Linked DNA regions of Anolis sagrei. Each later gene encodes a partner of the first gene's protein in a complex. Links are inferred from orthologs where the notes say so. Each region holds a gene or a part of one and is shown in the gene's direction. Other genes may lie near its edges.

Region 1 (16,695 bases):
TTGCATGATTTCAAAACCATCTCTAGACGAAATTGCATTAAATTTAGATTCCGTATTCTCTCTATGCAAATGGTATTATTAAAATAACCTATGTTTTCCCCCTGCCAGTCTTTTTAGAGACAAATCACCAAAACAGTCAAAATGATATATTGTATTAGCTCTATTACATTTTCAAGTAATTTATGTCCCAGTGTTCTCCAAACTAGTCTCCAGTGGGTAGGTGGGTCCCCTACCCACTGGAGACTAGGTTGTGATGGTAGTAGATGAGGAATATTGTAGCTCTTCTGTCACTGAGCTCCAAATGTCAGCACCAATAGCCATCATAGCCATAGTCAACTCCAGTATGTATGATCCTGACCTAAACATTCAGTGCATCTGGGAACTTAAGTTAATGTAGTTGTCTGACATGAGCTGCTATCATCCTGTTTGATTTGAGCTACAATGGTTACTATTGTATTTCTAGCTTTTTTATTATTTATTATTTATTAACCATATTTATATACAACCTTTCTCAGCCTGAGGGTGACTCAGGGCGGCTAACAAATGGCACGATTTGATGCCTACCATAACAAAGAACAATTAAAACATTTAGCATAAAAAACATTTGATAAAATAAAATAAAACTGATAAAAGTATAATTTGAGATACTACTTTGGATATTTACAGACAGGTTCTGTGTCCATGGATTCTGTGTCCATAGATTTGACGAACCATGGTTTGAAAATGTGCGGGGGAAATCCAAATATCAAAACTTTATTTTGCTATGCATTAAGCACGCCATTGATGTGTAGACAGGCATACCTTATTGTTGTTGTTGTTGTTCATTCGTTCAGTCGTCTCCGACTCTTCGTGACCTCATGGACCAGCCCACGCCAGAGTTCCCTGTTGGCCGTAACCACCCCCAGCTCCTTCAAGGTCAGTCCAGTCACTTCAAGGATGCCATCCATCCATCTTGCCCTTGGTCGGCCCCTCTTCCTTTTTCCTTCCATTTCCCCCAGCATCATTGTCTTCTCTAAGCTTTCCTGTCTTCTCATGATGTGGCCAAAGTACTTCATCTTTGCCTCTACTATCCTTCCCTCCAATAAGCAGTCGGGCATTATTTCCTGAAGTATGGACTGGTTGGATCTTCTGGTGGTCCAAGATATTCTCAGAACTTTCCTCCAGCACCACAGTTCCAAAGCATCTCTCTTCCTTCGCTCAGCCTTCCCTATGGTCCAGCTCTCACATCCGTAGGGGACTACGGGAATACTATTGCTTTAACTATTGGATCTTGGTTGCCAGTGCGATGCCTCTACTCTTCACTATTTTATCAAGATTGGCCATTGCTCTCCTACCAAGAAGTCTTCTGATTTCCTGGCTGCTGTCTGCATCTGAAGTAATCATTTCACCTAGAAATACAAAGTCTGTCACGGCCTCCACGTTTTCTCCCTCTATTTGCCAGTTATCTTGAATGTATGTCCTAGTATTCTTCAAACTAGTCTCCAGTGGGTAGGTGGGTGGGGGGTTGTGATGGTAGTAGAGGAGGAATATTGTAACCCTTCTGACACTGAGCTCCAAATGTCAGCCCCAACAGCCATCATAGCCACAGTCAACTCCAGTATGTATGATCCTGGCCTAACCATTGAGTTCACCTGGGAACTTAAGTTAATGTAGTTGTCTGGCATGAGCTGCTATCATCCTGTTTGATTTGAGCTACAATGGTTGCCATTGTATTTCTAGCTTAATTTGAGATACTACTTTGGATATTTACAGACAGGTTCTGTGTCCATGGATTCTGTGTCCATAGATTTGACCAACCATGGCTTGAAAATGTGCGGGGGGAAATCCAAATATCAAAACTTGATTTTGCCATGTGTCAAGCACTCCATTGATGTGTAGGCAGGCATACCTTATTGTAGCCTCCTGCTATTTCAACAAACCTCAGGCTCCCTTTGACATTCATTTCAATTGTTTCCCATTTTAAATATAGAACACTATTTTACAATGCCATTGTATATAATGGGAGTTCAGCATCTATAGATTTTAGTATCCATTGGGAACCTGGAACCAAAACCCTGAGGATACTGAGGGTCCTTTTACAGTTCTAAATAATTTGGAATGTGGGTACTTTCAGAACTATTTTCATTGTATGTCTGTGTCTCAGCTCATTGCTGGGAAAGCAATGAGCTTCTGGGATTTGGGCATTTTCAGTAGTAGCATGTCCTCTGTTCAACAGCCTTCCAACAGGTGGTATATTAATATGGTTAATCTGAAACTTTGGGTGTTAGCATAAATGCTTGCCAGGCAAGACTCTCCTTTATCCATGGTCCATAGTCTAAATTCGACCTCAGTATATATATGTTGTTACTTTCAAAGAATTTTAAAATGTTACTAATGCAGGATTTATCTTTTTAGAACCCATGTTCTGTCTTCCATAGAAAGGTGGTTTTCTGTATGAATAATAACTTTATCTTCAATAATGCTTTCTTCCAGTTTACCTTTTCCGGATATTGTGTAGCTGGATTTTCATTTCCTGGATACCCCATGAACGCCTTTTAAAAAATTGATTGTTTCTTTTCTCACAGCTAAAAGTCTCATCATAGAAGAAAATTAAATACTGGCTTAGCATCTCTTAACTGGATTTCCAAAATGTGAAATACTCCAAAAGCTAAAATAGTCGTGAAATCTTTGTTTTCTGGTCACTTAATGTACATAAGCATAGTTATATACAAAAATGTATTCAAAATATTGTGTATAAAATTAACTTCAGGCTATGTGTTTAAGTTGCATATGAAACATACATGCATTTTGCCTTTAGATTTGGGTCCCGTCTCCAAGATATCTGATTATGTGCATATATGCAAATACAGGTATTCAAAATCCGGGGGTGGGGGTGGGGAATCAAAAACCAAAATAATTTGATCCCAAACATTTCAGATAATGGCTACTGAAACAGGGTGTCTGTAAAGTCTCTTTAGCATTTAAATAATTTATTGTGAAAGCAAATGAATGCCTCATCATACACATTTAACAGTACCTCGTTCATCAACAGGGTACCTAAAATACACAAATGCAATGTGATTAAAAACTTTGATAACCACTGAGTGCATAAAACAAATCTGATTTAGTCCAGAAAACTGTGGGAATGGTGTCTGGACTACAGTCTGGACACCGGAAGTAGTGGGTTTATCACGCGCCTTCTAAGAAGGCGCAGAATAAATCCACTATCTAATTAATTTACCACAAACCAGGGTTGTCCTGGTTTGTGGGAAATTAATTACGGGTTGGCTAGTACATCAACTGGAGTTTCCGCAATAAAGAGGCTGTCTGAATGGGCCCTACATTCAAATGGCCAAGATCTCCAATGGCATAAGGGGAAGAAATGAAGAAGATTTCACTAGAAAATGGAGACTAGTCTTTATATATTTAAAAAGGAAGACAAAAACAGATTTTGAAATAGCTGAATGGGGGATTTATTAGTGTAATGATAAGGGCAGATTTTTGTTAGATACTAGTTCCATATGGTGTGGTGTTGGAAGTCACGGGTGGGAATGGAGAGGTGGTGGGCCTGGGGCAATAACACTTGTATTTGGATTGTTGAATTTTAACGCTTGTATGTTTTTTTCATATATCACAACACACACACACACATGTTGTGGAATGTTCAATTATTTGAGGATGGATAGGTTAAGCCCCAAAAGTAGGTACTGCAAGGAATTGGAGAAATGGGATAAAGTATCCTGGAGAACAACATGACATGGGAATACATGAGCATAACTAACATAATTTCCATTTTATCACCTATAAAGCCCTAAACGGTTTGGGACCCTCCTACCTTTGTGACCGTATCTTCTTCCACAAGTCCGCCCGATCCCTTCGATCTTCGGGGGATGCCCTCCTTTCGCCCCTTCCTTTATCACAGGCCCAACTTATGGGAACGAGGGAGAGAGCCTTCTCCGCTGTGGCCCCCCGACTCTGGAATTCACTGCCTGGTGAGATTAGGCAAACCCGCACCTTAGCATCCTTCAAGAAAGATCTCAAAACTAGGCTTTTCTGTTGCGCCTTTGGAGAGTGATATGAAATATCCTTTTGTTGTTTCTCCCATAAGGTTTGTTCTCATATTGCACTTTATATTGCACTTCCCCTCCCTGTTTGAAGGCCTGTCTCCACTACCCCATCTCCTACTTCTCTTTCACCCCTATCTCATCCTGAGTTTTTATCATTTTAACTTGTACATGTGGTCTGCCCTTGGGATTGATTTTACATTGTATTTGGTTTGTGCTGTTTTTTAAAATTGTATTCTTATGTTTTTATTGATTTAATTGTATTGTGAGAATTGTTGCTTTGGTTTTATTTTACTGTAATATACTATTGGGCTTGGCCTCATGTAAGCTACTCTGAGTCCCCTTTGGGGAGATGGTGGTGGGGTATAAATAAAGATTATTATTATTATTATTATTATTATTGACACAAAAGCACAGTATGTCACAGCAAACGAGATCTATATGCTGGATTTTGTATCACAAAATCAGAAGTCGAACACTTCCCGAGCGTCTAGGACTGTGTGATGTATTTTCGAATGATGCACGCTGATCCAAGTAAGGTGCCCTTTTGCAATTGACAGATCATGATTTTGTCGATGTTTATTGTTTCCAAGTTCTGGCTGAGATCTTTTGGAACGGCACCCAGTGCGCCAATGAACCACCTGTACTGGTTTATGCCAGAGCCTTTGCAGTTCGATTTTGAGGTCTTGATAGCGGCTGAGTTTTTCTTGTTGTTTTTCCTCAATGCGACTGTCACCTAGTATGGCGACATCAATAATCCAGACTTTTTTTCTTTTCAACAATTGTGATGTCTGGTGTATTGTGTTCCAAAAGGTTGTCAGTCTGGATTCGAAAATCCCACAGTATTTTTGCATGTTCATTTTCCACGACCGTTGCGAGTTTATGATCCCACCAATTCTTTACTGCTGGCAGGTGGTACTTGTGACATAAGTTCTAGTGAATCATCTGGGCCACAGAGTTGTGTCTTTGTTGTTGTTGTTGTTAGTATTATTATTATTATTATTATTATTATTGGCAAAGAGATGGCCAACTGGAAATCTCTAAACCTGTCACTATTAGGAAGAATCTCAGCCATAAAAATGATGGTCTTGCCCAAACTTCTTTTCCTATTCCAGGTGTTACCAATTATAAGAAACAAACAGACAATTAGGAACTGGAACAGAGAAATAACAGAATTCATCTGGGCTGGGAAGAAACCTAGGATAAAATTCATAAATCTAATTGAAAGTAAGGAAAAGGGTGGCCTAGGCTTACCAGATCTTCAAGCATACCACGATGCCTGTGACTTAATCTGGAGCAAAGAATGGGCTAATATCAACAAAACAAAAGACCTAGCTCTAGAAGGACGTGATCTTAGAAGTGGGTGGCATGCGTACATGTGGTACACCAAAAGAAAGATCGAAAAAAACTTTGGCAACCAATTTATTAGATCGTCACTGATATGGGAAAGTATAAATCCAAATTTTATCAAAAACACCTCTTTGGATCTCCCCCCTTGAAGCGTCACAGAGAAGAGAACTGAGTTGGGAGAAATGGCCAAGATATAAAGACATCTTAAAGAAGAACAATTATGATTTCTCTATGAAGACAATAGAAGAGATAAGAAGTTCTTATGGAGAGATATCATGGTTCCAATATAGGCAACTTACAGAAGCATACAATAAAGATAAAAAAAACTAGGTTTTGACAAAGAAGATAATCAGTGGGACAAGATTATGATTGGAGAAAAAAAGAGATTACTAAACTCTACAAAATCATACTAAGTTGGATGACAGAGAAAAACAGAAAAAAAATTCATTTCAAAATGGACAGCAAACCTTGGTCATATTATTGGAACCACAGAGTGGGAAAAGATATGGAAAGTTAAATTAAAGTGGATAAATTCTTATGACTGGTTAAAAATGATGTACCGGTGGTACATCACACTGAGTACATTGGTGAAATCTTACAGGAATGTCCCTGAGACATGTTGGAAATGCCAAAGTAAAAAAGGCATCTTCTTTCACTCATGGTGGACATGTGAAAAAACAAAAAAATTCTGGAAAGAGATCTACGAGATAATAAACAAGATACTGGATATAAAAATAGAAATGAAAGCTGAATATTACCTGTTAGGTATATTAGATTTTGAACTTGGGAAAAATAAAGACAAGCTTCTTTTTCACATGGCGACAGCTGCAAGAATTGTAATAGCAAGAAAATAGAAGAATAAAGAACTACCAACAGTCGAGGGATGGACAATAAAACTTCTAGATATAATAAATATGGACTCCCTAACATGGCACATGAAAAATAAACAGAAGACAGGGACTGTCAGGACAGATTGGTCTCCAATCAAAGAATATTTCAAGATTAACCAGACTTAGACATGTAAGAATTACGACTAGGAAAATATAACATTAAAGTTTCTTGGGGCAAAATGGATGAATAAGACCAAGAACTCTCCTGTGACACATTCCCTAGCCCCCACATCTCCCTCATCCACCTTTATCCGTTCACATCCCCCCACCCCTCCTGAACTTCTCCCCCCCCCCCCCAGCCCCCTATTATGTGTTTTTCTTTTTAATGTAATGGTTAAGTCTAAGTTACTGATTCTTGAAACTTGGATGTATCCCCATCTTGGAAAACCCTCAATAAAAATTAATTAAAAATATTATTATTATTATTATTATTATTATTACTACTACTACTACTACTACTACTAGCTGTCCCAGTGGCCCAGTCTGTTGATCTGGAAAATAAAGTATTGAGAAAGTGTTGGTTTCTAATATATGTAATTTCTTTATGTAATTTCTTGTCGGTAAACAATATTTCTTGCTGTTTCTTTGTCAGTATTGATGTGGAGAGTGTCTGGTTTGCCCACCCTGGAACATGCAAGATATCATTGTCCTTCTTTAAGGATCCCTTTCAAATCCCTTTCGAATCTATGATACTATATCTCTGCATGTGTGAATCATATCTATCTATCTATCTATCTATCTATATCTATCTATGGATGGATGGCTCTTTGTAAAGATGACTTTGATTATGTTTTCTTGCCTTGATGAAGGGAGTTGGATTGGATGGCTTTAAGTATTTTCTGATGGTCATGGGGGTTCAGTGTGGGAAATTTAGCCCAACTCTATTGTTGCTGGGGTTCAGAATGCTCTTTGATTGTAGGCGAACTATAAATCCCAGCAACTACAACTCCCAAATGTCAAGATTCTATTTTTCCCAAACTCTACCAGTGCTCACATTTGGGCATATTGAGTATTCGTGTGGAGTTTGGTCCAGATCCATCATTGTTTGAGTCCACAGTGATCTCTGGATGGAGGCGAACTACAACTCCAAAACCAAAGGACACTGCCCACCAAACCCTTCCAGTGTTTTCTGTTGGTCATGGGAGAACTGTGTGCCAAGTTTGGTTTAATTCCATCGTTGATGGGGTTCAGAATGCCCTTTATTTGTAGGTGAACTATAAATCCTAGCAACTACTACTCCCAAATGACAAAAGCAATTTTTTTGAGTGAAGGACATACATTGGGTTTTTAGGTGTCTTGTGTCCAAATTTGGTGTCAATTCGTCCAATGGTTTTTGAGTTCTGTTAATCCCACAAACGAACATTACATTTTTATTTATATAGACTAGCCCATCCCCTGCCACACGTTGCTGTGGCCCAGTCTGTGTATATGTGTTTAGTGTCTGTGTATATGTATATATTTGTGTATATGTGTATATGTGTGGTTTTGTGCATGCGTTGCAATGTATATATTTTTTGGCTTTTTAAGTATTTTCTGCTGTGTTTTTCAGTGTTTTTATGAGTGTTTTTATTGTGTCCAAGTTTTGTGTCAACTCGCCCAGTGGTTTTTGAGTTATGGTAATCCCACAAACATTACATTTTTATTTATGTAGCAGCAGATCTAATTGTGGCGTCATCATCGGGTTCGCAGGTTGGGAGTGATCCTGGACTCATCGCTGAGCCTGGAGCCCCAGGTTTCAGCGGTGGTCAGGGGACCTTTTGCACAATTAAAACTTGTGCGCCAGCTGAGCCCGTACCTTGGGAAGTCTGACTTGGCCACGGTGGTCCACGCTTTGGTTACATCCCGTTTAGATTACTGCAACGCTCTCTACGTGGGTTGCCTATGAAGACTGCCCGGAAGCTCCAATTACACCAACGTGCGGCAGCCAGAATGCTAACACGAGCAGGGTACAGGGAGCATACTACTCCTCTGTTGCGCCAGCTCCACTGGCTGCCAATTAGCTTCTGAGCACAATTCAAAGTGCTGGTGTTAACCTAAACGACTCCGACCCAGTTTGCCTGTCCGAACGTATTCTCCCCTATGAACCATCTAGGTTGTTAAGATCTTCTGGAGGGGCCCTGCTCCTGGTCCCACCGGCCTCTCAGGCATGTCTGGTGGGGACGAGGGACAGGACCTTATTTATTTATTTATTTATTATTTATTTACTTTACTTGTATACCGCAGTTTCTCAGCCCAACAGGCGACTCAACGCGGTTTACAACAAGGATAAGAATCAATCAACGATATACAATTTAAAACCATAAAAGCATAATATACAATATTGACACAACAATAGACAACACAATGGATCTCATAACTAGAGTCGTGATCCAATCCGTCGTCCAAATTTCCATTCCTGTAATCATCACATTCATTGCACTGTTTAACCGAATGCCCGTTCAAACATCCAAGTTTTTAATCTTCTTCGGAACACCATTAGCGAGGGGGCTGATCTTACCTCCATAGGAAGGGCGTTCCACAGCCAGGGGGTCACCACAGAAAAGGCCCTGTCTCTCGTCCCCGCCAGCCACACCTGTGAAGCAGGCGGGATAGAGAGCAGGGCCTCCCCAGAAGATCTTAGGGCCCTGGCGGGCTGATAGGCAGAGATACGTTTGGATAGGTAACTTGGGCCAGAACCGTTTAGGGCTTTATAGGCCAACACCAGCACTTTGAATTGAGCCTGGTAGCAAATCGGCAGCCAGTGGAGCTGGTGCAGCAGAGGAGTTGTATGCTCCCTGCGCTCCGCTCCTGTTAGTATCATGGCTGCCGAGTGTTGGACTAGCTGGAGCTTCCGAGCCGTCTTCAAAGGCAACCCCACGTAGAGAGCGTTGCAGTAGTCTAGACGGGATGTAACCAGAGCGTGGACTACCGTGGCCAAGTCAGACTTCCCAAGGTACGGGCGCAGTTGGCGCACAAGTTTTAACTGTGCAAATGCTCCCCTGGTCACCGCCGAAACCTGAGGTTCCAGGCTCAGCGATGAGTCTAGGATCACACCCAAACTGCGAACCTGTGTCTTCAGGGGGAGTGCGACCCCATCCAACACAGGCTGTAACCCTATACCCTGTTCGGCCTTACGACTAACCAGGAGTACCTCTGTATTCTTGGTGGTGGCCCCTCAACTCTGGAACTCTCTCCCACTGGAGATCAGAACTGCCCCCTCCATTCTGTCGTTCAGAAAACGGGTGAAAACCTGGCTATGGGGTTTGGCTTTCAACGAGTGAATCAATATTTCTGTGATCGGATAGATGATGATGAATGATGGACAACAAATTCACTATGATGACTGACCATTGTTATTTTGTGATTGCATTTTGCTGTTATAACGTTTTAATTGAATATGTTATATGATGTTTTTAATGATTGTTTTGTGATTTTATTGTTGGAAACCTGCCCGAGTCCCCTGATAGAGGGGAGAAGACCGGTATACAAAATTGCTAAATAAATAAATAAAATTTAAAATAGCACTTATTTCTCTTGCCCGAACCAATCTGTAAAGGTATATTGTACAATGTGTTATCATGTAGGGCTTTGGGGAATAGATTGGGCATTGAAATAGGAAAACTTCAAGGAAAACCTCAAAAAGAGTGCTGTGGGATGCAGTTTGAAGGCATCATCTCTCCCCGGTGGCACGACTCTTCATAATACTAAGGCAGGCAAGAGAGACTCCAGTCCACTCCGCAGTGAAATCTGCACCAGGTTTGAGGCATCACCCAAAGCTGCTGGAGTAAAATCTTACCAAGCGCAAATGCCTTTTAAATTGAACTCTGCAGGTTTGCAGTGCATGCTGGCGAGGGACAGAGGCAGAGATGGCATGCCGGGGACCCTGTGCCTTGACCGCTGTCCTAGGTTCAGGGCAGGAATAGGATGCAATAAATAGACACACAGCATCCCCTGTGGGACTGGGAACTTTCAAGGAAGATGGTTCATCAGGAAAAATAATATGGCTCCATCCAGGACGAACTCTCTCCTCATCTTCTACCTCGGTTTCTTGCTGCTCATCCATTTAAAAAGTAAGCATTCCTATTCCCTTTCACCTGTCATGTTGCTTCTCCTGCATCATACGTAAACAGGTCTATTTCTGAAAGCAAGCTTGTAAAACTTGAAAAGACATAAGAATTAGTTCCGGAGTTATCAAAAATGAGTGAACAGATGGCTTTGAGGTCATAAGAGTTCAAGGGAGTCAGAAAGAGAGGAGTAACTTTTGAAATGAATGAATGGTTATTTGGAGGATCCAGAAGAACTAATACTGCCGAATGCATCAAGGTTTGTTGTCCTTTAAAAAACACATTATCCAAATCTTACCAAACTTAAATAGTCAGGTGGTTTAACTTTCTACATTTGATAACAGCATATTAATGGGTTTGTTGCAAATATTTTGTCAGCTTTCAATTTCCTTATTCCTTTTTTTCTCCTTCAAAGCGAGGGAGCTCTCCAACCATCTCGTAAAAGCCTCTTTGAGGAGGGACCCCAAGAATTTGGTCAATTAATGTCACATTGTACTTTGATTTTACTTTGTAAAATTTGACCTTCTATTATGAGGGGGAAAGTGTTTGCTATTGATTTTAAAAAGAACAAAAGAAAAACCCTTTCAACAAAGTATTGTCGAAGGCTTTCATGGCTGGAATCACTAGGTTCTTGTGGGTTTTTTCGGGCTATAGGGCCATGTTCTAGAAGCATTTCTCCTGACGTTTTGCCTGCATCTATGGCAAGCATGCTCAGAGGTAGTGAGGTCTGTTGGAATTAGGACAATGGGTTTATATATCTGTGGAATGGCTGGGGTGGGGCAAAGAGCTCTTCCCTGCTGGAGCTAGGTGTGAATGTTTCAACTGACCACCTTCATTAGCATTTGAAGGCCTGGCTGAGACTGGGAAAATCTTTTGTTGAGAGGTGTTAAGCTGTGCCTGGTTGTTTTCTCTCTGCTGTTTTGCTGTAGTAATTTTAGAGTTTTTTAATACTGGTATTAAAACTCTAAAAAAACTCTTTAAAAAACCCCTCTAAAATTACAATAGCAAAACAGCAGAGAGGAAACAACCAGGCACAGCTTAACACCTCTCAACAAAAGATTTTCCCAGGCTCAGCCAGGCCTTCAAATGCTAATGAATGTGGTCAGTTGAAACATTCATACCTAGCTCCAGCAGAGAAGAGCTCTTTGCCCCACCCCAGCCATTCCACAGATATATAAACCCATTGTCCTAATTCCAACAGACCTCACTACCTCTGAGCATGCTTGCCATAGATGCAGGTGAAACGTCAGGAGAAATGCCTCTAGAACATGGCCCTATAGCCCGAAAAAACCCACAAAAACCTAGTGACTCCAGCCATGAAAGCCTTTGACAATACAAAGTGTTTGCTATTGATTTTAAAAAGAATAAAAGAAAAAACCTTTTCCACAAACTTCCCCTTTACAGAGCAAATAGGAGCGGGGAAAGCTTTCAGATGTTGCTGTATGTTGTTGTTAATTTAAATGAAGTTCTGCTGGCAAAGCCGATGTGTCTGTTTAGAAGGGGAAGGCTCTATAGAACAGACTTTGAAACCATGTGCGTATGTGTCTGAAAAGGTTGTGCGCTTTGTGCCGGCTGAATCTGAATTTTAATCAGACAAGCTGCCAACAGCTGCCATTAAACAAGGAGACTTGGCATTAGCGACCGGTGTCGTGTAATCTGGGTCACCTTCTGTTGTATTGTCAAATTGTTCCTACACACATAGGTTTATAAGCTGGGATAAAGCAGGTGCTACAAGTTGTAGCATGAGGTGAGGATGCAAACTAGGAAAACTTTAGGAGTTATGTATAAATGGTTGCACAATAAGCACTACCTTCAAATTGTCATTGAGTCTATATATCCATCTACGAGGGGTATTTTTTAAGTAAGGTCCGTTTTGTTGTAAACACTAGTAGTTCACGCGCATACCGCAATGAGCGCGTGCGTCGTGTACCGGCATGCCTCGGGAATAACTGTGCTCAGTTTCCGCTCTGTAGCTTTAAAAATGTTTAAGACTATCAACTCACCCTCCGCATGTGAGGTTCGCTCAGTGATACTGTTTTTATCAGCAAGGAACCTGCCTGCTGCAGAAATTAATCGACAGATTTGTGAAGTGTACGGTGATACTGTTATGAGTGAAAGCAAAGTGCATAAGTGGGTACGACAATTCAAAGATGGCCGTGACAACATCCATGATGAGGACAGCTCCGGTCGCCCTTCTTTGATTACAGTGAACTCTTGGTTATTGGAGCAGGCGGAAGAGGGTATTTTTAAATTGGTTCAGAGGTATGATAAGTGTTTGAACTAACTTGGCAACTATGTCGAAAAATAGAGTGAAGTGTGTACTTTCTGAAAATAAATTTACTTTTTTGAAATAAACTTTTGTTGTGTACTTATGTTCAAACGGACCTTACTTAAAAAAATACCCCTCGTATATAAATAAAAATGTAATGTACGTTTGTGGGATTAACAACTCAAAAACCAGTGGGCAAATTGACACCAAATTTGGATGGCATACAACCCAATGTATGTCCTTCACTCAAAAATTTCTGATTTTGTCATTTGGGAGTTGGAGTTCTTGGGATTTATAGTTCACCTACAATCAAAGAACATTCTAAACTCCACCAATGACGATTAAAGCGACAGCTTCGCGGCCAGAAAAAGTTAAATAGCCTCTGTCTATGTCTGTATATGTTGTATGCTAAAATTGGCATTGAATGTTTGCCATATATGTGTACACTGTAATCCGCCCTGAGTCCCCTGTGGGGTGAGAAGGGCGGAATATAAAAGCTGTAAATAAATAAATAAATAAATAAATAATGATGGAATTGGACCAAAGGTGACACACAGGACTCCCATGACCAACAGAAGGCTAGAACGGTTTGGTGGACATTGACCTTGTGTTTGGGAGTTGTAGTTCACTTACATCCAGAGAGCTCTGTGGACTCAAACAATGATGGATCTGGACCAAACTTGGCACAAATATTCCATATGCCCAAATATGAACACGGATGGAGTTTGGGGGAAATAGACCTTGACATCTGGGAGTTGTAGTTACTGGGATTTATAGTTCACCTACAAAGAGCATTCTGAACCCCACAAACACAGAATTTCCCACACAGAACCCCCCATGACCAACAGAAAATACTTTATTTATTTATTTATTTATTATTCAAACTTATATGCTGCCACTCCCCTGGGGCTCGGAGCAGCTTACAAGAATGGCTAAAATCTAACACAATTTAAAAACAATTTAAAACAATTTAAAAACAGCAATATCAAAAGTCAAAGGCCTGTCGAAACAGGTATGTCTTACATGCCCTGCAGAAAGCTGATAAGTCCCGCAAGGCACGGACTTAAGGTGGCAGAGTATTCCAGAGCAATGGTGCCACTGCTGTAAAGGCCCTGCGTCTGGTTGCTGTTAGACGCAAGGTCTTGACACTGGGAATTTCCAATAGATCTTGGTCCTTAGAACGGAGGGATCTCGGGGGTTGGTAGGGGGTGAGGCGGTCCCTCAGGTACATAAGGCCCCAGACTTAAGGCCATCCAGTCCAACTCTCTTCACCAGGGCAAGAAAATCTAATCAAAGCCCTCCTGACAAAGAGCCACCCGCCCATAGATATAGATAGATATATAATATGATTCACACGCACACACAGATATAGTATCATAGATTTGAAAGGGACCCCTAAAGAAGGACAATGATAGGTTGCATATTCCAGAGCAGGAAAACCAGACAATCTCCACATCAACATTGACAAAGAAACAACAAGAAATACTGTTTACCCACAAGCATAAAGAAATTACATAGATAAGAAACCATTACTTTATTTTCCAGATCACCAGACTGGGCCACAGCAACCTAGTCCACCTCTCGTCTTTTTATCAATCAGGTTCAAGTACTTAATTCTCAGTCTTTTCCCATTCCAAACAAATTTCATTAGTTTTTTATTCCATTTTTTTAAAGGTTTGGTTAATTATAGGTATATTTTGAAATAAAAATAATAACTTTGGTAAAACACTCATTTTTATGAGAGCAATCCTTCTTAACAAGAATAAGTTCAAAAATTTCCATTTCTTAAGACCTTTCTGTATATTATTCCAAGACATTTCATAGCCCCCCTTGCAGAATACACAAAATAGGGAAATATTGCATATTGCAAAATGCATTTTTATATTTTTATGTTTATAAGGACAATGTTTGAGTACTTTGAAAATGCAGAAGTAATTTCCTGAAACTTCAAACACACAGAGAGAAGAAGCTTGTAGTCTCATGAAATTGTTTACCTGCAATACTTCCATGAAAAAAACAAAACATTTTTTTACATATGGTGCATGGATGAAGGGATGTAAAATATGAGTTGGAAGGAGTTATGTCAGAGGGCCTGTCCAGACAGTAATTTTATTGTGGCAATTCCCGCAATAAAGAAGGGGCTGTCCAGACAACATTCTAAACAGTCCCGAATTAATTCGCTACAAGCCAAGCAAACCCTGGTTTGTAGCTAATTAATTGGATAGAGGATTTATTCCGCACCTTCTTGGAAGGTGCAGGATAGACTGCAGTCCAGACACCATTTCCACAGTTTTCCGTACTAAATCAGTCTGGAAAACTGTGGTAATACCCACCCTCCCCCCAAAACCTACAGACTTTTGAAAAGTAAAATAAACTTACCCAGCCTCCAGTATAATCTTGGAGCAGCTCTCCTGACATGTAGAAATTAGCACCAGGAGAGCGGGGTGGGGGGGGGGGGTGGGGGTGGGGTGGGGGGTGGGACGAGGAAAATCACTCCCCCACCCCCATTCTCCTGATGCGTCATTTCTACAGTCCAGGAGAGCTGCTCCAAAAGTGTGCTGGAGGCCAGGTAAGTTTATTTTACTTTTCTTTAAAAAATGTTTATGGATTGGTTTTATAGAATTAATATATGCACTTATAGAATTAATATATGCACTAAAATTTTAACCTCGAAAATGGGAGAACGTGTTCATTGTTGATAGAAAAGCCATGAAAAGAGAAGGAGTATTGCTTTACTAAGAAAAAAAGAACAAAAAAGACAAAAAGAAAAAAATGTTCAAAAATTGGTAGAAAAATATAAAAAGTGTATTTAAAGCAAAAGCAAAAAAAAAGCGTGACTTCCATCTAGTATTTGAGGGTCTTTAGTGTCTTTTTCTGGATTGTGGAAGATAATACTTCCATGCTCGTATCTTCTCTATCTGTGGTTTACTCTCTTTAGGTAATAATCTCTATTTTCCATTGTCTAAAGTAGCTTTTTACCGGGTCCCAGTTTATGTGGTTCTTTAGAATTCCTTGGTTTGGCGTTAGCCAATAAATTAATTCATCCATGTTCATTATCTCCAAAATTTTATTTTACTTTTCAAAGGGGTCTGGGGGCTTTTGGGGAGAGGGGTAGGGCCTCCAGATGTTCTGACAGGCCAGTCCTGCAGGAGCATCTGGACATCTACCCAAGAAAGTGCACGCTTTCTGGTATGGGTGTGGACAGGCCCTCAGGAAGATCCGCATTTTTTAAAATGGGGATTCTCCTGGGATAAAGGCCCGTCTGCATCCGCCCAGAGCCTCTGCAGTAGGCTTAAAAGGCTCTTAGTTTGGTGAAAGAATTTACAACAAAGAGAGATGTAATAAGAAGAGTGGCTCTCCTGGGATGCTCTAGCTCTTAGCAAGATGGGCTTGTAGCACTAGAACCCATTTTTAGGACTTGTGCGATAAAAGTCTTCAGGTACTTGTGTAATCTTAATTAATTATGGTTTATATCTTCAACAGAATCTGCTACATAGAAAGCTTAAAATGAAGTTCTAATGTTTTCCATGTTAGTCAGGGCAATAAGAAATATAGTTCAAGAGGCGGGAGTATAAAGTTTTGTCCTGACACAGTTCAGTCGCCATCGTGCATTGGAACAGTGAGGAGCGTGCTTTTGCCATTGAGGCCTACGTTTCGAGCGGATTTGGAGTGGCCGGCCCGCTCTCTAGATTTGGCCCCTTGTGATTTTTTTCTATGAGTTTTTTTTTTAATCTCGTGTTTATGCGAACCGTCCAAGGACCCTACAAGATTTGAAGACCAACATTTGGGAAGATATTGCCAACATAACGCCTGCTATGCTGGCAAGACTCATGGCAAACGCCAGAAATTGGTTTACTCAGTGTATGGAGAATGGAGAATGGGTGATGTCAAATACCTAATTTGATCTTCAAAACTACATAAAACAAAATTTTAGGTATGCGCCTACATTATATATAAAAAATTCTGCATACAATGGGTTATATTAAGTTTTGAAAAAAGGAAGTTATGCTGCCTCACCCTGTACATCACAGCTGGAGAAAAAAAAATGCAAATAAATACTATTACCTCAGTCCACTGTAATTTACGTTGTTGGGTTTGTT
Region 2 (16,350 bases), on another chromosome or scaffold:
GTGTAGACTGCTCCAGCACACATGCTCTTTTTAAAAGAAGAAGAAGAACTTTATTTTTCTACCCCGTCTCCATCTCCCTGAAGGGACTCAGGGCAGCTTTCATGGGGTCAAGCCCAAGACAACATACAATTAAAAACAGAACAATTCAATATTAAAACAAAATATCATAAACAATAATAAACAAACATCATAAGCAACAACAGAGATACCTTTAGTCTTATTTTTGGGGGAGAGGGGACCAGTGCAGAAACAAATTAGATGATAGGCTGGTCAAAAAGGTGGATAGAACGTATAATAGCATAGGAATAGAGCCTGAATAGTAGCATAGGAATAGGAATAAAAGCCTGAAACAGCTGATCAGGTGGTTCAAAGGAAGCACAAGTGGAAAGCAATTAGAACTTTCTGAAACTCTTAATTTTACACTTTATATATTAGATAATATAACCTTTAGAGAAGAGCCAAAAAACCATTTAGAGCAGAATTTCCTCTTGTAGTATACAACCCAATATAATTATGCTAGGCAATGGTTTTGGTTGTTGGACTGAATAACCAGCAATATCCAATCTGCCAGGAAAACAGAGATTTGCCAGTGCATTAAAACAGCAGAGCTTTAGAAGGTATGCTTGTTTCATATCATGATGGAAATAACATATTTGGTTTACTCACAACAGGTACGAAAACTTTTTGATCCTGTTTCAAATATCTTAGAGGCAGTTCCCTGTGTCAGCCAGCCAGGGCATCTCTCTTGTAACAAAACAGCTATCAACAGGTCAGATAGTAAAAAGGAGAGAGAGTGTGTGTGGTCTGTAGCCTCTTTTATAACTTCTCAGAAACCGCAGAGTAAAGGAAACTGATGAAAGTTGTCCAACAGTATAATCTTCAACAGAGGTTGAATTAAGAATTGGGGAAAGAAAGAGATCCGACATATTTTTTTTATTTTTTTAAAGAAAATCCCTCCCGTTATGTGCTGGACTTCATGTGTGCACATGCGAATCTGCTTCTGTTTATATTGAGATTTTTGCATGTGTGCATATATCCAGCGCATAACGGAGTGAACTTTGTAAAAAAAAACTTCTGCTGGATGTTTCCCATCCACCCTCCATATTGATCCACTACAGAGGAAGGCCATATCCTGGGACTGACATGTCTGTGTGGACCTGCTGTCAGATAACAGGATTTTTTTGTTTTGGTATTAGATATAAAACACGGATTTGGCACTGTCTGGAAGTGCCCATAGTCAAACAGTCAGCATCAAATTTTCAGTGGCTAGGATAATGGATAGGAAAGCATTCAGGTTAATGTAATTGCAACCATAAACAGAGTTTTGATAAAAAAGAATCCAAAGTGGAATGGATTAAAGTTCAAAGAAGGTTTAAGTTGAGCATTGTATAATTTGTGGAGGTCTCAGGAGGGACATTTGGAAACTATAGGGGAACTGAAGAGGATTCCACCTTTCATAAATTTCATAATATGAGGGTGAGATGACAGACATGTTTTGGATGCTAGCGCTGCAGTGGTGAAGCCAAACTTAAATTTGGCTTAAGTCTGATGGCAAAACCTGACTGTAGAAATTCTAGAATATTGTTAATGGACTTTCCTATTTATTTATTTGTTTATTTACTTAATTTATACCCCACCTTTCTCAACTTTGCAGGGGGACTCAAGGCAGCTAGTCAAAGAAAGAAGTTTCTTTTAAAATAATTCAATATCTTTCCTAGCTTGGGCAGTGATAGTTGATATTAGTCCATCTCTCAAACACTATATTAATAGGTCAACCACACACACAATCTCAAAATGTATAAAATGACCCCAGGAAAGCAAGTAATGGAGTCAATGTCCAAAAACTGGAAACAACTAGTTATGGCAATTAAAGTAGTTATAATTCCTATAAAACAATTTAGCTGTAAGTATATTACATTATAACTGTATCTGAGTGAAGAATAATACCACTAATTTAGTGGTGTACCTGTTAATTTAAATATTACTTATGTTGGTCTGGTATATGGTCTCACTAAGTGTTACAGCAGAAATATCACCCAATTCAAGTGACACGGGAGATACCTCATACTTTGTATTGTCGAAGGCTTTCATGCCCAGAATCACTGGGTTGCTGTAAGTTTTTTGGGCTGTATGGCCATGTTCAAGAAGCATTCTCTTCTGACGTTTCGCCTGCATCTATGGCAGGCATCCTCAGAGGTTGTGAGGTGTCTGCATGACCTCACAACTTCCGAGGAGGCCTGCCATAGATGCGGGTGAAATGTCAGGAAAGAATGCTTCTGGAACATGGCTACACAGCCCAATACCTTACGGCAACTCACAACATGCTTTGTTGTAAATGTTGAGAGCACAATGATGTGGAAAAGAGAATGTGTTTTCTACAGCAGATCAAGAGATTGTAGCTTTTAGATTATCCCCCCCCCCCCCCAAGAAAAAAATTCTGAACAGATAACTTGTTACATTTCCTTTTATTTGCAGATGTAACATAAATAACTTTAAATATAAAAAGGTTTTTAAAATGGTATGTCCTTGTTCTGATGAGGTCCTTGAGGTATTATGTGTCTATACTTTCCTTTCTGTCACAGCTGAGAAGAGAGCCATGAACCAATTCTAATAGAGCACAGATGAGGGAAGCCTGGCCCACAGTGTTATGCAGATAACCCATACTGCCAGACCTCAAATTGGCAGCATATCTCTGATGGGGGGGGGGGGGGTATATTCCCTGTGAATGCAGCAGCCTTTGAGAGCAGCAACAAGAGGAGGAGCACATGAGTAGCTGAGGTAACCCGTTGGAATTCCAAGAATTCTGATCACTGTGCCTTCCTTTTTGACGCCACAATTATCCAAATTAGGAACCAATTTCATCTCAATCTGCGGCACAGGACTTGAGGAAGAAAAGAAACTGGGCTGATTAGTTCTTTCTGCCTATTATTAAGGGTGACAACTGCATTGCCTCTATTTTAATAAAATGGCAGTACTCTGTTAAAAGATAATAAAACTGCTGTCTCCAGACACTACCCATTTGTGGACTTAAAGATATTTAAAGATATCGTCAAGAGCTATTTCAAACTGCATTTGCAATCCTAATAATACAAAGACTAAAGCTAAATCTCTGCAGGAACTTATACAACAAATTAAGTTGTCATAGTCACAATCAGAATAAACTTTTAAAAAGTGAAGGCTATTTGGAAGGAAATGATGCCTTCAAGGGAAGAATCTTCTTCCCTGCAAGACTAGCTCCTGAAATGCTTACAGCTGAGATCTGTGTGGAACCCAGACACCGCTGCCATGTAAAGTTTAGTCTTAGGAGAATAAAGACCTTGTCACATTGGGGTCCTTGTCACACTGGGGTCCTATGGCAAGCGATAGCGGGGGGGGGGGGGGGGATGCCTTAATGTAGCATGGCGAATCCGGCGGCCAGTGGGGGGAAACAGTTGTCCCACATCACTCCTTACCTTATCCCATGGGGGGAAGCATCTCCATCTAGCTTCCGTCCCCACCCCAATTCTTCTCAAATGCAATTTGAAATAGCATGCTGCCAGAACACTTTCTCTATGGAGCCCTGCCAGAAGTAGTCTTATGTCGTATGATAGGAACCATCAGGCTCAATTTCCTAGAATGCTTCCCGAAGCCTGTGTGATGAAGTGGTAAGATTTCTGGAAACAACATCCTGATCTTTCAAGGTCCTGGAATATGTATGTCCCCCATCACATAGCAGTTGAGGTTTTTTTAGCAACAGTGAAAAGCAACATCAAAATTATCTGAAGCCTCTATCTAACTGTGTGTCTTAAACCATACCAACAAGTGCAACAAAAAGTTGTGCCTTACAGCAATACAGAGATCAGACAGGTCTCACTTCGGGGGGAGGCCACACACCCTCCCCAAACCTCAGGATTTTCATGGTAGGGTGGCTACATAGAGCGATCCCCCAGCCCCCCATTCCCCCAAAAAACTTACCTGAGGGGCCTGTCGGCAGTGAAGACTTCTCTAGAGAGCTCTCCTGGTGCTCAGAAAATGACAGTTCGGGAGGGGGGGAGGGGCCTGCATCACCAGCAGGCCCCTCAGGTAGGTTTTGGACACCTCAAGTAAAACAGAGACACATTTTGGGACTGTCTGGAAGGGCCCACTGTCCCAATTCAGAAGACAGAAGGGAGCAGAAGACACTTCCATCTTGTCTTCTGCCTATATCATCACTTAAGAGGCCCCTCCCCCTTCTGGCACCAACGGCTGCTCTGGCCAGAGCGACGACAGAGGGGAGCAGAAGACATTTCCATCTTGTCTTTACTAATAATATAATATAGTATATTGTATATACATATAATATTTATAATATTATAATGTAGTACAATATAATACTAGTAATAATAATTCAATATTATAATTATAATTATATATTTACATTACATGTAATATTACTAATAATATTACAATATAATGGTATAGTGCAATATAGTAATATATACTGATATTGTACTATGCTAATAATATAATATATTGTATGAAAATATATATTGTAAGCCGCTCTGAGTCCCCTTTGGGGTGAGAAGGGCGGCATATAAATGCCGTAAATAAATAAATAAATTCACAGTCAAGCAACTATATTGTACTCTAGTTGCAGTTACTGAACCATCATACAGGCAGCTCCAAGTGGAATGCAATACAGTTATTAATGTGGGAGATTACTGAGGTATGGTTTACTACTTTGTCCAGGTATGGAAACAGCTAAAAAACCAACCTAATCTGGTAAAGGATTCATCAACCCTCAAAGAAAACCTGTGATTCAAGATGGTTCATGAAATACTCCTAAAACACTAGACCTGCTGCGTCAGATGGAATACAACTCTGAAGTATTGTATGTACTGCTGATAAATGATTTACAGAAGGAAATGACAATTATGCATTATCATAAGTGATATTACCTAAGAAATGTGAAGCTCTAGTAGCTTGCATGTAGTTTATTCATTACTGAATTAGTATGTTCATGGAAGAGAGAAAGATGGACTTTGAAGCTTTTAGTTAACATTCCATTCCAGCCATGAATGAATGATGTATCAAAATGTTTTGGATGATAAACAATAACTCCATCACGACTTCTAAATAAACATTCAAGTGCTGTACAAAGTCATTAACAACTTGATTGAGTATAAGGCCATTATAAAGAAGATACCTGTCATGTTTGAATGTATCTTGCTGCTATTTAGAAATGATAGAAATTGCTATTTATTTTATATCCTGGTTTTCTCCCATGTGGGACACAAAGTGTTCTATGAGGTATGTTAAAACAAAACAACTAAAACATCATGAATACGGAAATTTAAAAAACAATGAACAACAATCCATTCAAAAAATCAATTTTCTTAACAAGGTAGATGTGTTTCTGGGCATTACTTCTTTCACTTAAACTTTGTACTGAGGCACTGAATGTTTGCCTTTTTGTTTGTTTGGAATTCACCCTGAGTCCCCTCGGGGAGGTAAGTTTTTACATTATTATAATTTTGGTACTAGAAGTAGAAATAACATGGAAAGAATAGGGGGATAGGTTCCTATAATACAAAACGAAACATTTCAGCAAAGCTTTTATATAAAAATAACATTACACACATGGGAAATGAAACAATTAGATCAGGAAACCCATGCATAAGGAAAAAAAACATCTTGAATCTTCTACAGAGCATCTGAAGGCTTCTTCCAAAACGCAACTCAAGAGTTTTTTTTTATTTCAATAGCATTCACTTTTCATACTGTTAATATTTTGGTGAGGCAAGCTAATCTGCTTTGCCCCTTTCTTTCTGTTTTGCTTTTCATACACGCTCAGTAAGTGATTCAGGTGGCAACTGTTTACCTTGCTTTGTGTACATAAGCCGTTACAATAGAATGACCTAGAGCATAATACAGTACAATTCTTACCTAGGTTATGTTTTAGTGTATTGTTTGCAATAGACATGCTGTTGCAATCCAACACTAAAAGTGTTTTTCACACCTTTCTTTCCAACATTCCTTCACTATCCTCCCAACGCTAATGCTGCACAATAAAAAGTCTCCCACAAAAAGACTTTGTATAAACAAGGCATGTACAGTGATGTTAACTTATCATGAGTGAATGAATGCATTAAAAAAACTTGAACTGGAGGAGAGGAATATAGGTAAATGTAAAGGTTTTCCCCTGATATTAAGTCCAGTCATGTCCGACTCTGGGGGTTGCTGCTCATCTCCATTTCTAAGCTAAGAGCCGGCGTTGTCCGTAGACATCTCCAAGGTCATGTGGCCGGCATGACTGCATAGAGTGCTGTTACCTATTGATTTACTCACATCTAAATGTTTTTAAACTGCTAGGTTGGCAGAAGCTGGGGTTAACAGTGGAAGCTCGCGCCACTCACCAGATTTGAACCTGCGACCTTTCAAACAGTAAGTTCAGCAGTTCAGTGGGTTAACCCACTGGTTAATTTTAATGACTTTAACTCACATTGACAACCAATTTGGAGAAAAGATAGAATGATAAGGGGCAAAGGTATGTGGGTAAGAGTGAGAAGGGGAAGAAAAAAATGTTGAGAGTTGATTTTCCTAAAAAATGGCACACCCTTTTTTAAAACTATCTTGGTATTAATGCACTACTGTAAAAGCATAGAACAAGAAACACTAGGAATGGTTTCACTTCTAATAAAGACAGTTTTTGTTGAATAAACTATGCTGTCAGAGTTGCCAAACTAAACATGGGAGAGGGTTCCTGTTCAAACTACAAGAGAGGAGATCTGAACATTAGGAAGAACTTCCTGACTGTGAGAGCCGTTCAGCAGTGGAACTCTCTGCCCCAGAGTGTGGTGGAGGCTCCTTCTTTGGAAGCTTTTAAGCAGAGGCTGGATGGCCATTTGTCAGGGGTGATTTGAATGCAATATTCCTGCTTCTTGGCAGGGGGTTGGACTGGATGGCCCATGAGGTCTCTTCCAACTCTTTGATTCTATGAGTCTAAGTTCTGTGAAAGAGGAATTTATAGCAAGAATTGCTCGTTGCCCAAGGAGCAAGATCTGCTGAAATCCCTCCTCCACAATTACAGCAGCCCTTTCCAGTTTTCGCAAGTGACCCTATGCCTTACATTTCCATATTACAAAAAGCACTACTGTATCAGATCTTCCAAAATGAACTCAATTTCAAAGAAGTCCAAAACACCTGTTGGCCCACGCCTGAGTTAGAATCCACTTAACTGGGTACCCATATACACAAACATTATGGGGTTTTTTTAATTGTGAGGAAAACTCAAAAGATGCACTGGTACTTAGTTCTCTATATTGAAACATGGAGTAAAGGAAATTCACTGGGTTTTTGTGAGTTTTCTGGGCTGTATGGTCATGTTCCAGAAGCATTTTCTCCTGACATTTTGCCTGCATCTATGGCAGGCATCCTCCGAGGTTATGAGGTCTGTTGGAAACTAGGCAAGTGAAGTTTATATATCTGTGGAATGTCCAGGATGGGAGAAGGAACTTGTTGTTTGAGGTAAGTGTGAATGTTGCAACTGGCAACCTTGATTACCAAGCATCCTCAGAGGTAGTGAGGTCTGTTGGAACTAGGAAAATGGGTTTATATATCTGTGGAAAGACAAGGGTGGGAACAAAGGACTCTTGTCTGCTGGAGCTAGGTGTGAATGTTTCAACTGACCACCTTGATTAGCATTTGATAGCCCCAAGTGCCTGGAGCAGTCTTTTGTTGAGAGGTGATTAGATGTCCCTGATTGTTTTCCCTCTGCTGTTTTGCTGTTTTAATTTTAGAGGGTTTTTTTAAAATAATGACAGGACTGACAATGTGGAATTGGAAATTGGACTATGAGATAGCGAACGCTGGCCGTCTATGAGGAGTAATTGGGTTTCTATTGTTTTATTGGTTTTAGGGTTGTAATGCAGGAATTGTTGTTTAACTGTTCAACTGATTAATTGATGTTATTTTGTTTTACTGCTGTTATGTGATGTTGGCATCGAATCTGTGCCTTTGTAAGCCGCCCTGAGTCCCCTTCGGGGTGAGAAGGGCGGGGTAGAAGAAACCTAAATAAATAAATAAATAAATACTGATAGCCAGATTTTGTTCATTTTCATGGTTTCCTCCTTTCTGTTGAAATTGTCCACATGCTTGTGGGTTTCACTGGCTTCTCTGTGTAGTCTGACATGGTGGTTGTGAGAGTGGTCCAGCATTTCTGTGTTCTCAGATAATATGCTGTGTCCAGGTTGGGGTATAAAGTTTATTATTATTGTATTGTCGAAGGCTTTCATGGCTGGAATCACTAGGTTCTTGTGGTTTTTTTCGGGCTATAGGGCCATGTTCTAGAGGCATTTCTCCTGACGTTTCGCCTGCATCTATGGCAAGCATCCTCAGAGGTAGTGAGGTCTGTTGGAATTAGGACAATGGGTTTATATATCTGTGGAATGGCTGGGGTGGGGCAAAGAGCTTTTCTCTGCAGGAGCTAGGTGTGAATGTTTCAACTGACCACCTTCATTAGCATTTGAAGGCCTGGCTGCGCCTGGAAAATATTTTGTTGAGAGGTGTTAAGATGTGCCTGGTTGTTTCCCCTCTGTTGCTTTGCTGTTGTAATTTTAGAGTTTTTTAATACTGGTAGCCAGATTTTGTTCATTTTCATGGTCTCTTCCTTTCTGTTGAAATTGTCCACATGCTTGTGGATTTCAATGGCTTCTCTGTGTAGTCTGACATGGTGGTTGTTGGTGTGGTCCAGCATTTCTGTGTTCTCAAATAATATGCTGTGTCCAGGCTGGTTCATCAGGTGCTCTGCTATGGCTGACTTCTCTGGTTGAAGGAGTCTGCAGTGCCTTTCATGTTCCTTGATGCGTGTCTGGGCAATGCTGCGTTTGGTGGTCCCTATGTAGACTTGTCCACAGCTGCATGGTATACGGTAGACTCCTGCAGAGGTGAGAGGATCCCTCTTGTCCTTTGCTGAACGTAGAATTTATTATTATTATTTGTTGAGAAGTGATTAGCTGGTCCTGATTGTTTCTTGTCTGGAATTCCTCAGTTTTTGAGTGTCGTTCTTTATTTACTGTTACGATTTTAAAGTTTAATAACAAGGAAATTCACCTGTTCCGTTCCCTCTTCGTGAGACTGCGCACGAAGACTCCAGGTGCCCTTGGCCGGGTGAGCTCTTTAATCTCTTAACACAGGTAAACACTATTCACCTCAGCTGGGGAGGCCACGCCCATTAAAGCCTTGTCCAATGGCAACGAAGAGGGGGAGGAGAGGAGCGCGCGCAGGCCGAGCCTCGCGCTCAGCGCCCGCGACGTCACCAGCTGACGATTGCAAGCCCCGCCTCCTTTCTCCTCGAGAGAAGGCGGAGCTTGAAGATTGGTGGGAACCAAGGAGGGAGAAGGGGGGAAACCGGATATGCGCATGCGCGGGGAAGAGGCAAGACGGCGATTTGGTTGCTGGGATCTGGCACAGGAGGCGGGGCGGCGGCCGACGTTGTCGACGAGGACGACGGCGGCGGCGACGAAGAAGTTGTGCCGCTTCGGTCTCGGTGAGGCGTGTGAGCTCCGGCGCGTCTCTTTCCGTGAAGGGCCTGAAGCGTCGTCGTTGTCGTCACAGGCGAAGGCGAGGCGCCCTTTCCTCGGTCCGGCGGGTGCCCAACAGGTAGGCATCCTGAGGGAGAGAGAAAGAAGAAGCCCTCTCGTTCCCTCTCGTTCCCTCTCGGCTCGTGGTCGGGGGCATGGTGGGACTGAGGGGGCCTTCCTGGGCCGCCTTGTGTGGGCTGGGAGCGCATTCCTCAGCTTCCTCCGCGTCTCCTCCCTTCCCTTCCCGTGTGAACTTCTGTCCCCGTGTCTGCTTATCGCCCGAAATCTCTCCCCGGACCCCGCCTTCCTTCTTTTCTCCCCTGTTTCCCTTTCCTGCCTGTTTGTTGTTGTCCTCTTCTTCTCCTTCCCCTGTTCGCTTCTATCCCTGAAGTGACAACTAGTTTTGACGGAGACGCTTCCTTTCTTCCTTGTCCTAATCCAGGGCGTCCCAAACAGATTCTCGCCCCGCTACCTTTCACGCAGGTTGTCCCAAAGGTTGCCTAAAATTGATACTTAGAAGCCCCCTTGTAAATTGTATCAGAAGATGAGAGACTTCTACCTCGTATTGGGAATACAATGTATTGGGAATCTCACATGAGAACAACATATTGTATGTGTGGCCAAAACCCCAAAATAACATATAAAACAGCTCTGTATTTAAGCAAAACAATACGTCTTGAGAACCACATATGTAGGGCTGATCGGGGTAAATTGTAGGGGTGATAAGGAAATCTATATAAATAAAAATAATGTTCGTTTGTGGGATTAACAGAACTCAAAAACCACTGGATGAATTGACACCAAATTTGGACACAAGACACCTAACAACCCAATGTATGTCCTTCACTCAAAAAAAATTGATTTTGTCATTTGGGAAGTGTAGTTGCTGGGATTTATAGTTCACCTACAATCAAAGAGCATTCTGAACTCAACCAATGATGGCATTGAACCAAACGTGGCATACAGGACTCCCATGACCAACAGAAAACTCTAGAAGGATTTGGTGGGCATTGACCTTGAGTTTGGGAGTTGTAGTTCACCAACATCCAGAGAGCACTTTGGACTCAAACAATGATGGATCTGGACCAAACTTGGCACAAGCACTCAATACGCCCAAATATGAACACAGATGGAGTTTGGGGGAAATAGACCTTCACATTTGGGAGTTGTAGTTAACTGGGATTTATAGTTGAACTACAATCAAAGAGCAATCTGAATCCCACCAATGACAGAATTGGGCCAAACTTCCCACACAGAGCCCCCATGTCCAACAGAAAATACTCAAGGCCATCCAGTCCAACTCCCTTCACCAATGCAAGAAAACGTAATCAAAGCCCTCCTGACAAAGAGCCATCCAGCCAGATATATAAATAGATATATATGATCCACACACACGCACAGATATAGTATTATAGATTTGAAAGGGACCCCTAAAGAAGGATGATTATATATTCCATTTTCCAGAGTAGGCAAACCAGACAGTCTCCCCATCAACAGTGACAAAGAAACAGCAAGAAATACTGTTTACCCACAAACAGAAAGAAATCACATATATTGTAAACCAACACTTTCTAATTACTTCATTTTCCAGATCACCAGACTAGGCCACAGCAACGCGTGGCAGGGGACAGCTAGTAACATATAAAACATCTCTGTATTTAAACAAAACAATACGTCTGAGAACCACATGTGTAGGGCTGATCGGGGTAAATTGTAGGGGTGATAAGGAAATCTATATAAATAAAAATAATGTTCGTTTGTGGGATTAACAGAACTCAAAACCTACTGGATGAATTGACACCAAATTTGGACACAAGACACCTAACAACCCAATGTATGTCCTTCACTCAAAAAATTGATTATGTCATTTGGGAGTTGTAGTTACTGGGAATTATAGTTCACCTACAATCAAAGAGCATTCTGAACCCCACCAATGCTGGAATTGAACCAAACTTGGCACACAGAACTTCCATGGCTAATGTAAAACACTGGAAGGGTTTTGTTGAGACTCAGCATTCTGGCACCATACCTACTACTAGTTTGGTGGGCAGTGTCCTTTGGTTTTGGAGTTGTAGTTCACCTACATCCAGAGATCACTGTGGACTCAAATAATGATGGATCTGGACCAAACTCTACACGAATACTCAATATGCCCAAATGTGAACACTGGTAGAGTTTGGGGAAAATAGAATCTTGACATTTGGGAGTTGTAGTTGCTGGGATTTATAGTTCACCTACAATCACAGAGCATTCTGAATCCCACCAAAGATAGAATTGGGCCAAACTTCTCACACAGAACCTCCATGTGGGCCACAGCAATGCATGGCAGGGGATGGCTAGTAACATATAAAACTGTATTTAAGTAAAACAATACATCTGAGAACCACATATGTAGGGCCAATCGGGGTAAATTGTAGGGGTGATAAGGAAATATGATATATATATATACTCAGTTTTATCACCTCTTATATTTATTTACTGTATTGTTATAAGTGTCTTATTTTAACTTACTACATGGAGTGTGATCAAGTCTTATCAAGCTTTGTTGTTTTGTTTGATATTGTGATATGACCTAAGGACTAATCAATAAAAATACTACTACTAATTACTACTTACAGTCCCTAGTGTAGGCATGGGCAACGTTGGGCCCTCCAAGTGTTTTGGACTCCAACTCCCACCATTCCTAACAGCCTCAGGCCCCTTCCTTTTCCCCCTCAGCTGAAGGGAAAAGGAAGGGGCCTGAGGCTGTTAGGAATAGTGGGATTTGGAGTCCAAACACCCGGAGGGCCCAATTTCACCCATGCCTTCTCTAGTGTACATAAGAGGAAATGGGAAATTGTTGCTAAATGTACCTGTTGCCCAAGAAAAATGAACTGCCCTTCCTTGTTCTAATCCTCAATAAGTTTGGCTGTGTGTTTATCATTGAATTGTTGCCTCTGTAAACCTCCTTGAGTCGCCTGCGGGCTGAGAAGGGCGGTATACAAATACAGTAAATAAATAACAAATAAATGTGTGATGTCAGGCCTGTAGCCGGGGGGGGGGGGGGGTTAGGGGTTCAAACCCCCCCCCCCTATTTTTCAGGTTAAAAAAAACCCTGGTTTACTCATGAATTTTAACTGGTTAACCAAATCCCCATGCTAAGTCTATGAGATGCAAAAACTGCAAGCACTATCTCAAGCAAATATAGACAATTTATTCACACTGTCATTACTTGCAGCAATGGCCGATATAGCGAAGCAACCAAGTTGGGGGGGGGGGTGTTTAATGCTCTCATTAAGGAGGCCAGACTTGGTGGAGGTGGTTGACAGGAACAAAGCTGCAGTTCGTTGCAACCTGTAAAACATAACATAATATGGAATATAATATACATTTGTTAATCTTTCCTATCTCCTTTTGGGACACCCTGAATATGTATCACTACAATGACATATTCAACTCAGGGCCCTTCCAGACAGGCCCTATATCCCAGGATCTGATTCCAGGTTTTATGCTTTAAACTGGATTATATATGAGTCCCCTGGTGGCCCACTGAACTGTTGAAGTTGCGGACCGAAAGGTTGGCAGTTCAAATTTGAGGAGAATAATGATCTCCCACTGTTAGCCCCAGCCTTTGCCAACAGAAGCTGAAAACATGCAAATGTGAATAGATCAATAGGTACCACCCCCACGGAAAGGTAAAGGCGCTCCATGCTGTCATGCTGGCCACATGACCTTGGAGGTGTCTACAGACAACACTGGCTCTTTGGCTTAGAAATGGAGATGAGCACCACCCCCCAGAGTCGGACACGATTAAACTTATTATCAGGGGAAACTTTTATATATGAGTCCGCACTACCAGAATTTCTTTGTGTCAAGAGCGACTTGAGGAGCTGCAAGTCTTTTCTGGTGCGAGAAAATTGACTGTTTGCAAGGACGTTGCCCAGGGACGTCAGGATGTTTACCATCCTATGGGAGGCTTCTCTCATGTCCCTGCATGAGAAGATGGAGCTGATAGATGGGAGCTCACCCCGCTCCTCAGATTCGAACCACCGACCTTTCAGTCAGCAGTCCTGCCAGCACAAGGGTTTAACCCATTGCGCCACCGGGGGCTCACACTGCCATGTAATCTGGGATGAACAGAAAACCTGGGATCAGATCCTGGGATATAGGGCCTTCCTGGAAGGGCCCTCAGATAATTCAGGATGGCCCCCAAAAGTGTATACACCTTTTAATAGCTAAGTGTAGCTATTGCAGTTATTTGATGACTGATCATTATAAATGTTATAATTATGATTTCATCAGAGTTACAAATTTCATCTTGAAATATTTTTAGGTGAGGTGTTCAAATTGTCAAAATGCACTGCTTGTATTGTCAAAGCACTAGAGCTGAAAACCTCATCTAAAGTTTTTCTTGGAATTTTGTGACACTTCTCTACTATTGGAGCCTTGAATCCTGTCAATAATTTATATATTTGTGGGGGGAGGGGTACCCCCAAAATTGAAGCCCCTGGTGGTACAGCCGGTTAAACCACTGAGTTGATGAACTTGCTGACAGAAAGGTCGGCACTTTGCTCCAAGGAGCGGGGTGAACTCCCGCTGTTAGCCCCAGCTTCTGCCAACCTAGTAGTTCAAAAACATGCAAATGTGAGTAGATCAATAGGTACCACTTCTGCAGGAAGGCAACGGTGCTCTATGCAGTCATGCCGGCCACATGGCCTTGGAGCCATCTACAGACACCACCAGCTATTCAGCTTAGAAATTGTGATGAGCACCACACCCCACAGTCGGATATGACTATATTTAATGTCAAGGGGAAACCTTTACCTACCCATAACATTATAAACTAATATGGATGTGTGCAAATTTGGAGGACACCCTGTAGTTGGTGGCTTTGTTGTCAAGTTTTACTTTCCCCGTTCTTTTAGGTTATGTGTGCAAAATGCAGTGTTTCTTCCCAAGGCACTTCAAACCTTCAGTACCACCATTTTCCCCCATTGCCGTCTCCAGGGTTCTTTAGGTGCAGTGACTTCCATTAGATGTTGTAATTCAGTTTGTTCTGAACTTAATCAAGCCCCCCCCCCCTCCAAATCTACCAACATGACCATGTTGGGGCGAATTGGCCATGTCAACCTATTAGTCTTAACTGCTATACTTAATTCTTTGTAGGAAGAATTGCGTTGGCAAGTCACCAGATCCCATCAGATCATAGAAACTAAGTAGAATCAGCTGTTGTTTGTACTTGGATGGGATACCACCAACGAATACCAAGTGCTGTAGGCTATATTTCAGAAGAAAAAACTTACAAAACCACCCTTGAGTATTGGTTGCCTCAGAAAACCCTATGTAAAATGCATGAGGTTACCATAAGTGAGCAAGAGACTTGAAGGCATACACTCACTGGCAGCACCCGGGGCATAGATTAGCAAAACTATCTCTTTGGAATTACTTCCCATGTATTAAAGCTGTAATATCATTTAGGAAGACCCTTGGCTATGTTTTTATTGAAAACATTAGAGAGCTCCCAATAAAAACCTTTTGTGCTTGTCTTGATCATGTAACTGTACACAATATTAATACATGTAGTCACCCCCCTCCAAAATTATTTATTATTGTCGAAAGTCAGAACTGTCTTCTCTATTACTAACATGTATTGTGGAGCAGGTACAGAAATTTCAGCTACAGTAGAAAAAAAGGAAGAGGTGTTACACATTGAAGTCTTCTTGTTTTGTGTTTGCTTGAGTACAGTCTGCGGTCTCTCAACAAAAACTTGGAAAATTATAGTTTTCCTCAAGAAAGAGAAAAGTTGACATTAAAATTTATTTTTTCTTGTTCTAATGTTTTACCAACTCTGTGCTAGTATATTGAAAGTGCAATTTATGACACACCATATATTGATAGTTACTTTTTTAATGCCCTGTTGAATTATAACAATTTTTTTAGAGTTGGGTAGTATACAATTTTTGAACTAGTTTTCTAATGTTTTGGGAAGTTCTAATGTTCTTATATTTGTGGTACCTAGTTTGAAAGAAAATTCTGTACTATTAGTGACAATTTGTTAATTCTGAATGAAGGTATTGTCTAGTTATCAGCTGGGGAGAGAATAAAAGTATTTCCTGAATATAGACAATGGACCAGTACACTTACTTGTCTCTCCAGCTACATACTTTGGTCTTATATAAAATTATGGTTTATCTGAGAACTTCAGGTCTATGTACATCACTGTGTCTGCTAACCAGTTAGGCTCACCTTTCTCACTAGCTTTTCTGCAGAGATGTTTGTTTTCTTTTGGCCTTCTTTAAAAAGGAAAATGCTGAAGAGAATTATAGGAGAGATAACTTTTTAATTAAAGTTTTGAAATTTATACTTAGGGGTTCTAGTCCAGACATAGGCAAACTTTAGCCCTCCAGGTGTTTTGGATTTCAACTCCCATAATTCCTAGCAGCTTGTATAGTTAAGTGACATAAAGGCCTTCAACAAAGCCTTAGAACAATACATAAAAGTTCAGTCCATTTTTTTCTTGGAAACGGGTCAGTAAGTTACCATAGGTCATAATCTTGTGTTTCTGTAGTTTGAGCTGTAGGCTAAAATAATGTTATCCATTTTATTAATTAAAATATTTTGAATAAGCTGCTTACTGATTAAGTTTGTTGTACAGCAGTTGGCAAACACTCAAAATGAGCTTGCTTCAACAGGTGACTGGAAAGCAATAACGCACGTGGTTTGATTGGCTTGTGGAACAATTAGAAGTGAAAACAAAAAATTGGACTCATGTTCTTTATATTCCCAATGAGAACTAGTTTAGTTAGTTTAATGGAGCTAATTTCCTAGAAGG

What was found.
Region 2: the proteins of CRB1 (region 1) and PALS1 are in contact, whole or in part, in a crystal structure (PDB 4UU5), measured with the Homo sapiens proteins. The link is inferred for Anolis sagrei from reciprocal best matches to the Homo sapiens genes CRB1 and PALS1. Residues at the interface, in NP_957705.1 of Homo sapiens: Ala1401, Met1402, Glu1403, Arg1404, Leu1405, Ile1406; in NP_071919.2 of Homo sapiens: Lys261, Pro266, Leu267, Gly268, Ala269, Thr270, Val271, Arg272, Asn273, Ser281, Arg282, Val284, Val314, Asn315, Val317, Phe318, Leu321.

Annotation. Positions count from the first base shown.
Region 1 is NC_090024.1:109,690,241-109,706,935, forward strand, and holds the start of CRB1 (protein crumbs homolog 1), read left to right. Parts: upstream 1-10,055; 5' UTR 10,056-10,262; coding exon 10,263-10,332; intron 10,333-16,695. UniProt on the Homo sapiens protein: Plays a role in photoreceptor morphogenesis in the retina. May maintain cell polarization and adhesion.
Region 2 is NC_090021.1:281,640,364-281,656,713, forward strand, and holds the start of PALS1 (protein PALS1), read left to right. Parts: upstream 1-9,340; 5' UTR 9,341-9,618; intron 9,619-16,350. UniProt on the Homo sapiens protein: Plays a role in tight junction biogenesis and in the establishment of cell polarity in epithelial cells.